Linked DNA regions of Kluyveromyces lactis. The protein of the gene in region 2 interacts with the protein of the main gene of each other region in a pairwise test. Links are inferred from orthologs where the notes say so. Each region holds a gene or a part of one and is shown on either strand. Other genes may lie near its edges. The genes, in order: YOP1, DST1, ECM31 and DCG1.

Region 1 (2,684 bases), on a different chromosome or scaffold from region 2:
AGGAAATAAGGATTAAGGTTCCGGATAGAACCTTAATTCCAGATGTTGACGTAAAATACTCAGAAGAAACTGATCCCATCAAACAAATTTTGCATGGTAGGAGATCTGTTCCTACTGGCAAGAATTATTTTACCATTCAACCTGGGGACGTTTTCAAGACTCCGTTATATATTCCGAAAAAAAATCTTGAGGGAAACCTCGTGGAAGCAAAGCAAATAACTAACCTAACAGCTGGCGTTCCTGGTGATGTTGCTGTTTCGGTTATCGACGGTAATAATTTCACACACTGGCAGCCCGCATATAAAAACTTGCCAGCAAGGCTATTAATCGATATGGGGAATAATTTCACGCAAGAGATCAAGTCAGGCAAGATTATATGGGGTTCGAGGCCTGCAAAGACCTTTTCGTTGTCGATATTGCCACAAACAGAAGAGGTATTCAAAAATTTGACGCATATATTATCAAACGTCAATCAATATTGCAATAAGACTGGTGATGAATGTGTACGCGATTTGGAACGGACAGAAAAAGGTTTTGATGCAGCGATTGAAGATGTTTTTGACTGGTACGGTATTGATCCAGATAGTATAATCAGTACTCATCCTGAACTTAAAGATATGAAAACTAAATTTGTAAAGATTTTGGATCACTATAAGGTAACACCATCAGAACCATACCCATGGCGAGTATATAATGAGTCCCAAATTGTATTATTGCCTGGAAATGAGACCGATTTCGATATTGATTATTCAAAAGTGGCTGAAATGAATCCCGAAAATGTTGATATTGATTTTCGTGGCAATCAAACTGATTGGAGAAAGGGAAGATTCATAGTTCTAACTGTTCATGACACTTATGATGATGACGATGATGAAAAGGGAGCGACAATTAAAGAATTTGCATTATTCCCATAAGACATGCACATAAGTCTCATATACGGGACATTTTTAGTTTGATAGTTATTTGATTAGTCGGTCAGCTAATTCAAATGCTGTCCCTAAAAGTTTTTATTCATAATGAAATGTTTTCATTTTTTTTTTGGCATTCCTTAGTGTATTCCTTCATATACTCAATCTGACACTTTTAAATAGTATTAGCTTCCAATATGAACGTTCGAAACTTCAGCGGCGAAAAAAAAACCAAAAAAAAAGAAGGCGTACGGGATTAGAAAAAATATGCTGCTTCTGTGGATCGAACACAGGACCTTATGAACTTCAGTCATACGCTCTCCCAACTGAGCTAAAGCAGCGACTTGTTGAAACCGGTGGTGATTTGCTCATATTGGTTCCACTTGCTAAAGTTAGTGTTCCTCTTTTTTTTTTTCGTTTTCTGTGGCTCGGATAGAACATTCCATTAGGTCTGGCTGTTTCTTAAAACGCAACGAATTCTGAAAAGTGAAAAAAAAATATAAACTAAAGAATGAAATTTAAAGGGATACATCTAACTTGCCAGTGAGCGATAATTCCTCCTCCTTCAAATTTTTTTGATTTACCTTAAGTCTGCACTCTATCAATCCAACAAATCTACAATCAAACAACAATGGCAGACTATCTGAAATTATTTCAAGATTCCTTGAAGGGTTTGGACACTGTATGTTTACTAGGATTTTTATTATCTTTCGGATGCTTCTCGTAACTAACAGAGAAAATAATACTACTTTAAAACTTAATATACTAACCAATTCTAACTTAGAAATTCGCTGGTAATCAAATTTTGTCTCGTATTGAAGCTCAAACAAAATTGCCAAGATCATATGTTATCGTTGGTCTTGTTGCTGTTTACTTTCTCTTAATTTTTATCAATGTTGGTGGAATTGGTGAGATTTTATCCAACTTTGTTGGATTCTGTATTCCAACATACTATTCTTTGAAAGCATTGAAGACTGCCACATCAACGGATGACACACAATTGTTAACTTATTGGATTGTTTTTTCGTTTTTGTCTGTGATCGAGTTCTGGTCCAAGGCTATTTTGTACTGGGTTCCATTCTACTGGTTCTTTAAGACTGTTTTCTTACTGTACATTGCCATTCCATCATTCGGCGGTGCCCAACTTGTTTACACGAGGTTGATTTCACCATTCTCTGACAAATACCTACCTATCGTGGAAGGGAAATCGGGAGAACTGGCCCAGAAAGTCGAAGCTGCTGCCAACAACGCTAAGGCTTCTGGATACTCCCGTTAAATTCTTCTTAGTTGAAAAATCACCCTCTGGTCCAATTTTCTTTTGAGTTCGCTTATTTGATTGCGGAAATGTGAACTCGTACCGGTGTTTATCGACATAGATCCCTTATCTACATGATGTGATTGTTATATCGTTTTATAGTTTACACAATATTACTTTAAGGCATCTTTAACGCTCGTTAATGGGGGATGTTTTCAAATTTATAATCGAATTGATCCTCGGTGGAGTTGATATTCAATTTGACCCTTAGCTTGATTTTCCCAGATCCTAGAATTTTAAGACCCTGCTTAGCTACTTCACCTGTAGCTACCTTGTGGCTTGACAGAGATCCGAATTCTGCCTTCTGTGATTTAGGAACAGCGATTAGGATCTGTAAGGTATTAATATTCGTTTTAGCTTTCAAGAATAGGTCTATTTCAGTACAACCGGGGATTGACGATTCTACTTTACCATAAACTTCAACAATATCAGATGAGTGGATATTGATAGAGTTTGGTGGT
Region 2 (2,864 bases):
CCCAGAACGGAATACAGAACGCGATAACATGTTTTCTATATGAGGATTATTGAAGTTCCACAGCAACAGGACCGGTTAGGTCTCGGATATTCTATATTTTCTTAATTTAGTATGCAAGCGGAAAGATAATTGCGCTTTCACATTTTTTTGAAGTTGATAAAATTTCAGACCTTAACATGATGGACTGTTATCGAACAGGAGTCTGAAGGTAATAATTGAAGGTGAGCACCGACTATTTTCATTTGAGCTTGCAATATATAAACAAATCGAACTACAATGAATTCAACACCATCTGTAGAGTATTTACCATAGATACGATTCTTAATTGTGATATTACAACTTTGGTCATTTATACATGAAATACTAGTTAGCCGGAAGAATGTATGATGTAGAATTGGCGGATGCTATGTGTACACATCTAGCTAGCAATGAAATAACGAAAGAGTTTTAGTGCTTGATCACTGCCATCATCATGCTGCTTTAGTGTATCATATGCCAAGGCTATCTTCGTAAAATTCAAAGTGAGAATTTCAACTACGAGAACTTCCATCTATTACCGCAATTCTCACATGTACAAAAAGTAGTAAGAGGTTCATCCGCAGATCTTGTTTGTAGTTGGTAGTATGATACTTTTCTTTGTTTACATTTGCCACATTGGAATCTATCTGTTACTGATCTTTCTACAGTTGCACCTTGTGCATTAAACAAATTCTGTTTCTCAATTTCCTCAATTTTCTTCTTTAAATGTTCCGGTGCCAAGTCCTTAGGATCAGCAGTCACTAAATGTTTGGCTGATACTTCTCCATTCGTAATTCTATGTTTCAAATCTGGATTGTTCTTGGAGATTATATTTGAGTAAATTATTCTGTATTTGTCACGATATCCCTTTTCGTCAGACTCGGGATTGAACAGATTAGCCATTTCTGTCTCAATACTCATTACTGTATCTAGGATAGCTACTGGAGGATGTTCACTTTCTTTTGCCAATGCATCATATAATGCCCTAATAGCCATATCTCTAATCTTGACACCATATATATCCGTTTTCACACCGTCGTTCTTAGCATTTCTTGGAGCTTTGCTGACATATTTCTCCTTCTTTACTGCTTCTCCACCGCTTGTACCATTATTGTTACTTGTAGATGAGGAATTGCTGCTTAGTTTGCTTTTCTTTTCACGAGCCACAGCATCTTTCCAGGATAAAATCATCTTCTTCACCAATTTGACGATGTCTGGATTGGAAGATTTCTTAAATTGGTTGACTACGACCCCTACTTTCGTCTCTCTAAGAAGCTTCTCATTAACATCTTTCAAATCTTTATCTAATGACTGTAGAATCTTGAACACAACATCATTATTATTTTTGTTCTTCTCTAATCCTTTGACGGCTTCTAAAACGTCCTTGGTTTCCATATCCGCAGAAGATATCTCAGTTTCTATCTATATTCCAGGATCAATTTCTTTCGAAGATGAAGAATGAATGTTAATAATACACAGCAAATATTGCTCTCAACAGATTCTAATGAGTTAGGACCTGCTGAAATCCACCATTTGGACAATGGACAGTGTTGATTGTTTGAAGTCATTAATTAGTTTTCAATTCTAATTTCATTTCATTCGAACATTGAAAAAAAAATTAGAATTGAAGTTGATGACGAAAGTTGAAGAATCGAACAATAAAGCCATATCTGAGTTTTATTACACTTATAAAGTACCGCTAAGAGCATCGAAGGACTTGTAAGACAGACTTCCACCAGACAGCTAGCTGTGAAAATAACCTGGTGCAACCAATTTCAATCATAGAAATAGTTAAAAAGCAATGAACAGGGGAAATCCATCGCGCACAGTTTATTTAGGTTCGATACCGTATGACCAAACAGAACAACAAATATTAGACCTATGTCAGACGATAGGACCAGTAACGGCAATGAAGATGATGTTTGACCCAACGACGGGTAAATCTAAGGGTTATGCTTTTATTGAATTCAAAGATTTGGCAACTTCGGCAAGTGCAGTTAGAAACTTGAACGGGTATACATTGGGTTCAAGATCGTTAAAGTGCGGATACACCACCGGTAGTGGCATAAACGGCAGCGGATCTGGCCCCGGAGATGAAGAGGAGAATGGAAACATGGTTGAGGATGTGAAGTTCCCATGGCTCCCGGTAGGGGTGGACGTTAACATCAATATGACTACACCAGCAATGTGTATCAGTAGTGAATTGGGGAAGCTACAAAAGGACCAACAGATGGCTCTACTAAAAGTAATCCAACATTTCTGTAAAGACGACAAGGAAACTTTCGTAGCACTCCTAGAAGAGGCACCTCAATTGAGCTATGCTATTGCGGAACTCCTGTTGAGTAACGGTGTGTGCAGTGTGGACCAATTGACACAATTGGCTATGGCGAGTAAACAAAGGCCAGAGGAACAGACTGATAACACAGTGGAAGACGGATTAGACGAAGAGAAAGTGGATCTTCTAAGGCAAGTTCTACAGCTACAGGATTCAGATATAGCAATGCTTCCGCAAGACGAAAAGATGGCAGTTTGGGAACTCAAACAGAGGGCAATGAAAGGTGAATTCGGTCATCTTTAATAGATCGTCTCATGGATGGAAAATCAAAAATAATGAACATGCGTCAACTATAAAGTTCATTAATGCTTATAGATGAAACGGTGTAGAATGTACAAATTGAATACGCACTTTCGGATGAAGTAAAGTTCAGTCTCTAAAATATACCTTCAATGAGCCAGAATGCGCTTGACGGTAAGACAGAAGTAGCAGTATAATTTTATGGAAATAATGAAGAGAAGGGTTAATAACCAAGCTTACTCCACGTATGCAGTATCTATTCAAATTAATT
Region 3 (2,969 bases), on a different chromosome or scaffold from region 2:
CAATGTTTCCAATTTCACGGAGTTGTCATGGTGGGAAACTTGCCATGTGAAGATAAAAGGTGCGCAAGAAGATACCATTTACCAAATATCCTCCACGCCGGCAATGCATTGGTCAGGAAGATCTGTGTTAGATGCGAATAGGTCATTATGGTGTTCGTTCATAGTACATAAGGGTAACAAACCGGTGTTATTCCATGCGGGAGACACTGGTTTTGTGCATGATTTATACAAAAGAATCGTTAAAAAATATGGGAGCGGCGTACGGCTAGCTTTGCTCCCCTGTGGTCAATATTGCCCCGAATGGCATCAAAGGCCTCGACATATAAACCCAGCAGAAGTCATCAAGATCATGAATGATTTGGATGCGCAAACTGCTCTTGGTATCCACTGGGGAACATTTCTTCTGAGTGGGGAGTACTTTAGAGAACCTAAAGAGAAACTAGAGTTCTTATCTGAGTTTAACGAATTAAAAGATAGATGCTTTTGTCCCGAGTTGGGTGAGACTTTAGATTTCTCAAATAATGTAGAATAAATAATGAATAGGCACCGAAATATCTTTCAAAAAGACTGTTCACTCAGTATCTATCTTAGAAATAAAATCTTGGTACACTTCATCGTTTACTTTGAAAGTGTGGTGGCCTATATGTGGGAAAGATTTATCATGAACTTCTTGAACGTACTGAGACAAAGCAGAAACAGCGTCCTTCTTAAAATCTGCGAACATTTTAACAAATTTCGGTTTATGTCCGGGAAGCATCCCAAGAACGTCAGATTGCACCAACACCTGGCCACTAGTATCTGGGCCTGCACCGATACCAATGGTGGGAATGTGTAATTTGTCCGTGATGACAGAAGATATCTTATGCGGAATACATTCCAATACAATACCGAAACATCCGATCTGTTGCAAAGTTTGACTAACGTTGTACAACGCCACAGCATCAGTGCTCTGTTGACCACCCTGGGCCTTGTACCCGCCTAGTGAATGGACTCTTTGTGGAGTCAATCCTATATGCCCTATCACTGATATACCACGTCTAACCAACTCTTTGATATATTCTAGCGAGTAATCATCTTGAGACAATCCACACTCTACTTTCACGGCTTGCACTTTGGGATTCAAATGTAACAACTGGAACGCGTTACCGATCCCATCAGAAATTGATCTTTCAAAGGATCCGAAGGGCATATCGACAACGACAAATGCAGGACCTGGAGCGCGACAAACAGCACCAACATGATATTGAAATTCGTCAAGAGAAAGCTGAGTAGTTGATTCATACCCTAAAGAACACATAGCGACGGAGTCACCTACTAAAATCATATCTGAGTTGGCATTCTGTGCCCAGCTTGCTGTTATATAGTCATACGCAGTAACCATCGAAATGGGGTTTCTACGATGGTATTTTGCCATAATATCCTTAACGGTAAGCTGATGAACAGCTTTGGCGGTTGCTGCAACCGCCGAGCTGTTCTGCAGCGAGTACCATCTCCTGCCTATACACCGAATCATACCGTTGCTCCACATCTCGGCTCATCTCAACTCATCTCATCTTAGACACGTTCACCTATTTGACAAATTCTGAAATCTTCAATTTCACATACTTAAGACAAGGAAAAAATGCGTCAAAAGTTTTCTTTTTCTTTTTTTCACTTGCCTCCCATAGCACCTCAGCAAAAGAACATACTTCCGGTTATCAGTAGCGTCGGCTGAAAACTAAGGTTTGGTCAAGCGTCAACGAGCTTGTAAGTGCCCCCATAGTCTAGCAAGTCGGGATAAGCACGAGGTATTTTTTCCGGCTCATGTTGACGCCGGAATATATCCCACAGTAGAGTGGACTTTAACACTGTCTGTATTGTAATACTAGCTTTCCCTTCCTACGCTGGTAGGAGTACGAAACAGCCACTCTTTTCCGTTAAGCGAATACTTTATTCTCTTGGTTGCCAGGAACTGAATGTAGCCGGTTTCCTATTTGTTCCGATACCCACGCTTTATGCAAGTAAAGGCTACAAATGGAGGTGGGGCAGTACACAAACCCCCACCATACAAAGACTCCGAGCCCAGAAACCCCCACAGAATCAAGAGAATACAAACAACATATCGCACTATATTCGCCTATCCCAAGACCAACGGGTTTATCGTGATTTATATTGTAAAGCCAAAAAGGTTTAGATTTTGTTTTTTTTACCCAGATTTCGGATAAACCTGCATGATTTATAAGAGCCGTTTCTTGTTAACGCGCATAGAGTCCGCAAAAAAAGAAAGAGAACAAGAAAGGACCCGTAATAGGTCTTCTGGACAGTTGACTAAGCGTTTTCTTAACTATAACTTCGCACTTGGCTTCTCATAGAACTGGAAATTTGTAGCTTTACTTCTGTGTGTTTGTGTCTTTATTGTTTCTGGTTGCGATCCTCGAATTAACACGCACCTATCTAGTTTTTGATAAAAGCCCCAACTTATGTATACAGAGTTAATCTACGATGGAGCCCTCATTTTTCCTACTTCCGTTCCTTTACTGTGTATGCATTACAATTTATCCACCATTCTCGATAGTTTTAAACCCGTTCTTTGTGTTGTCTTTAGACATGTGGCATAAATGCCGTTTTTCGGACCTAGTTTGTACTGGCATTCCAGTATACCTTATATTGACTACCATTTAGATCTTTTTTTTTTTTCATGCCTTCTCTATCTCTCCGAGGTTCCTTTACAATGTAGTGTAGATTATGTCACTACACAAGTATTCGGAGGACCTTCTTTTTCTAAGATAGTTTATTGAGTTGACAGATTACACAATCCAACAAGAACAGATAATCCGTGAGAAAATAATAGCGTAGAAGAGACGGAATAGTATCTAAGTCCCTAGAAATCTCTTTCTTGTTACTACAAAGGAGGTTATTGTTACCTCGGCTGGAGATAAGTGTGTACGGCACCTTACAGAGCTCTGTACGTATGAGTAAGGGATTCGAGA
Region 4 (2,601 bases), on a different chromosome or scaffold from region 2:
TTCAGCTGAATAACGCAGTAACGGTAACTCAAGAAGAAATCGATCATTGGAATGAAAAGTTAAGTGAATTGTCACCTGAAGAAATTATACGTTGGGCTATCGTTACTTTCCCACATTTATTTCAAACCACTGCGTTTGGCTTAACTGGGTTGGCTACTATCGATATGCTTTCTAAGATTAATCAAAATGAAACAGAACCAATCGTTCCATTAATATTTATTGATACATTGCACCATTTCCCTCAGACGTTAGAGCTTTTGAAAGTGGTAGAAACTCGGTATTACAAGCCAAGAGGACAGAATGTCAATGTATATCAGCCGAAAGATTGTGGTTCGGAGCAAGAATTTGCTGCCAAATACGGTGATTTCTTATGGGATACAGACGATGATAAATACGATTTCCTAGTCAAGGTGGAACCTGCTCATAGAGCTTATAAGGAATTGCAAGTGACTGCTGTATTCACTGGTAGAAGAAAGAGTCAAGGTGGTGCAAGGTCGAATCTGAAATTCATCGAATTGGACGAATTCAATCATATCATCAAGATCAACCCGCTAGCGAACTGGGACTTCAACCAAGTGCAAAGTTATATCCGTGATAATAACGTACCTTACAATGAATTGCTAGATCTAGGATACCGGTCGATTGGTGATTATCACTCTACACAACCTGTTCAAGAAGGTGAGGATGAGAGATCAGGCAGGTGGAAGGGTAAGGCAAAGACGGAATGTGGGATTCACGAGACAAGCAGATTTGCACAATATCTCAAACAAAGAGAATGATATGTGTTTGATATATATATATATATATATATCTTTTCTGTTGTATACTGTGCATGCGGCATCTCTTATCTAGCTTTATTTATGGTTTCAGTTTAGATACACAACGTGACATTTTTAGTCACTTAATGTACATATTATATATGTTGCGACTAAGGTGGAAAGTGTATGAACAGTTGCGAACCTTACCCATGCAACTTGGAAGAGAAACCCCCAGCTTGAATCTCTCATCAATTCTCATGACTGTCAAAGCCTAAAGTTTTTGGGCTGATTCACACTATGATAACCGGGAAAAAATGAATCAAAGGTTCTGAAAACATGCGTCCGGACAGATACGAAAAGCAACATAAACCAAAGAGAGAAACTTATATAACTCTGTATGATAGGAGTCAAGTAGCTCATTATTCCAGGATGATTAACATATTGAATCATAGAACATAGCTGACACTAACAAGCAAGGATGTCGTTGTCTAAATTACCTTTCGTAAAGCACAAGAAGAGTTTACCAGATGATGAGCTCATCAAGGTCTTATTTGTAAACCCTAATTCAACCCAAGCAATGACCGATGCCTGTTTAAAGATATTGGCTGGTCATGTAGCTCCAGACACTGTGGTTTACGGGTACACTGCACCATTTGGTAAGGCACCCAATGTGATTGAGGGTCATCTCGATGGTATTCAATCTGCAATTGCCGTTATGGAAGATGCTTACGATGTAATAAACCAAGTCGATTGTGTACTTGTTGGATGTTTTAGCGACCATCCATTGATAAAATCTATCAGGGAAGAATTTGATGATGTTGTGTGCATGGGTATCGTGGAAGCAGCCGTGTACTCATCCAGGATCATTGGATCAAAATTCGGTATTCTTGCATCAATTTACAAGGCTCAGTTAAGAGATGAGGAAACCATAGCAGGTCTTGGCATGTCCACATTTTGCGTTGGATTGTTAAGTTCTGGTATCAAAACCGTATCGGATTTGGTCAAAGTGGAAGAAGCTGAGCTTCATAAAACAATGTCTAAAACTGCCTTGACCTTAGTAGAAGAATATCACGCAGACACCATCATCTTGGGCTGTGCAGGGATGAGCGACTTGAAAAATGCTGTTGCAAACGCTTTACAGCAGAATGGCTATGAAGTGCCAATTATTGACGGAGTGGTATGCGGGATCAACATTGTTTCGGCTGTCTACAGAAGTGGATTACACGGTACATCCAAACAAGGAGCTTATTCAAGTGCTAGAAAGGCAAGAGAACTAAGAGGTGATACAGTTGAAATCAAGAAGTCATGATACTGGGAGTCCATTGGCATGGTGCTGTGTTCATTCCATTCCTTATATAACGTGTATAGTGCCAATATAGTCAGGTGACCTCCATCAAGAACGTTTAACATGATATGAACTTCAAGCTTTGAAAGAGAAAAAAACGAGTTTGGAGCTTCTCCGGAAGATGAAGAATAAAGTTCAAGCATTAGTGGATGCATTCTTTGGTTTTCGGCGTATTCAGTATCTGTGAGACTAATTTCGATAGTTATCCTAGCAATTAGTATATCCAAAGGAAGGCTGTAGATATAAACAACATGGGTGGTTTCAGATTTCCAATCAAGACAAAGCTTCCTTCAACGTATTTGAATGCTAGAGTTATCAGAGACAATTTCAAGAGACAGCAAGTTGCAGACAATGAAGTCACTGTAAAGGCATTGAAATTCATTGCTAGAAATACTACTCTACCTCCAAGGTCGAGAATGGAAGCTCAGTTACAACTTTCTGTGATGCCTAACTATACAAGAATGACACAAATCAAGAACAGATGTATTGAAACGGGAC

Evidence for each region.
Region 1: the proteins of DST1 (region 2) and YOP1 interact in a two-hybrid assay, tested with the Schizosaccharomyces pombe proteins (2 studies listed by BioGRID, with this or other methods). The link is inferred for Kluyveromyces lactis from reciprocal best matches to the Schizosaccharomyces pombe genes tfs1 and yop1.
Region 3: the proteins of DST1 (region 2) and ECM31 interact in a two-hybrid assay, tested with the Schizosaccharomyces pombe proteins (2 studies listed by BioGRID, with this or other methods). The link is inferred for Kluyveromyces lactis from reciprocal best matches to the Schizosaccharomyces pombe genes tfs1 and ecm31.
Region 4: the proteins of DST1 (region 2) and DCG1 interact in a two-hybrid assay, tested with the Schizosaccharomyces pombe proteins (2 studies listed by BioGRID, with this or other methods). The link is inferred for Kluyveromyces lactis from reciprocal best matches to the Schizosaccharomyces pombe genes tfs1 and SPOM_SPAC1F7.10.

What each region holds. Positions count from the first base shown.
Region 1 is NC_006041.1:596,442-599,125, reverse strand, and holds YOP1 (Yop1p), read left to right. Parts: upstream 1-1,539; coding exon 1,540-1,590; intron 1,591-1,692; coding exon 1,693-2,184; downstream 2,185-2,684. Other genes in the region: alpha,alpha-trehalase ATH1, read left to right, coding at 1-914; APL4 (AP-1 complex subunit gamma), read right to left, coding at 2,363-2,684. UniProt on the Schizosaccharomyces pombe protein: Required to generate and maintain the structure of the tubular endoplasmic reticulum network and the vacuole. Induces high curvature in membranes and causes membrane tubule formation. Involved in membrane/vesicle trafficking.
Region 2 is NC_006042.1:863,891-866,754, forward strand, and holds DST1 (transcription elongation factor DST1), read right to left. Parts: upstream 1,414-2,864; coding exon 535-1,413; downstream 1-534. Other genes in the region: DPC13 (Dpc13p), read right to left, coding at 1-30; RNA15 (Rna15p), read left to right, coding at 1,820-2,596. UniProt on the Schizosaccharomyces pombe protein: Necessary for efficient RNA polymerase II transcription elongation past template-encoded arresting sites.
Region 3 is NC_006041.1:2,167,807-2,170,775, forward strand, and holds ECM31 (3-methyl-2-oxobutanoate hydroxymethyltransferase), read right to left. Parts: upstream 1,529-2,969; coding exon 572-1,528; downstream 1-571. Other genes in the region: FMP30 (N-acetylphosphatidylethanolamine-hydrolyzing phospholipase D), read left to right, coding at 1-532.
Region 4 is NC_006038.1:937,853-940,453, reverse strand, and holds DCG1 (Dcg1p), read left to right. Parts: upstream 1-1,236; coding exon 1,237-2,067; downstream 2,068-2,601. Other genes in the region: MET16 (phosphoadenylyl-sulfate reductase (thioredoxin)), read left to right, coding at 1-779; MRP2 (mitochondrial 37S ribosomal protein uS14m), read left to right, coding at 2,355-2,601.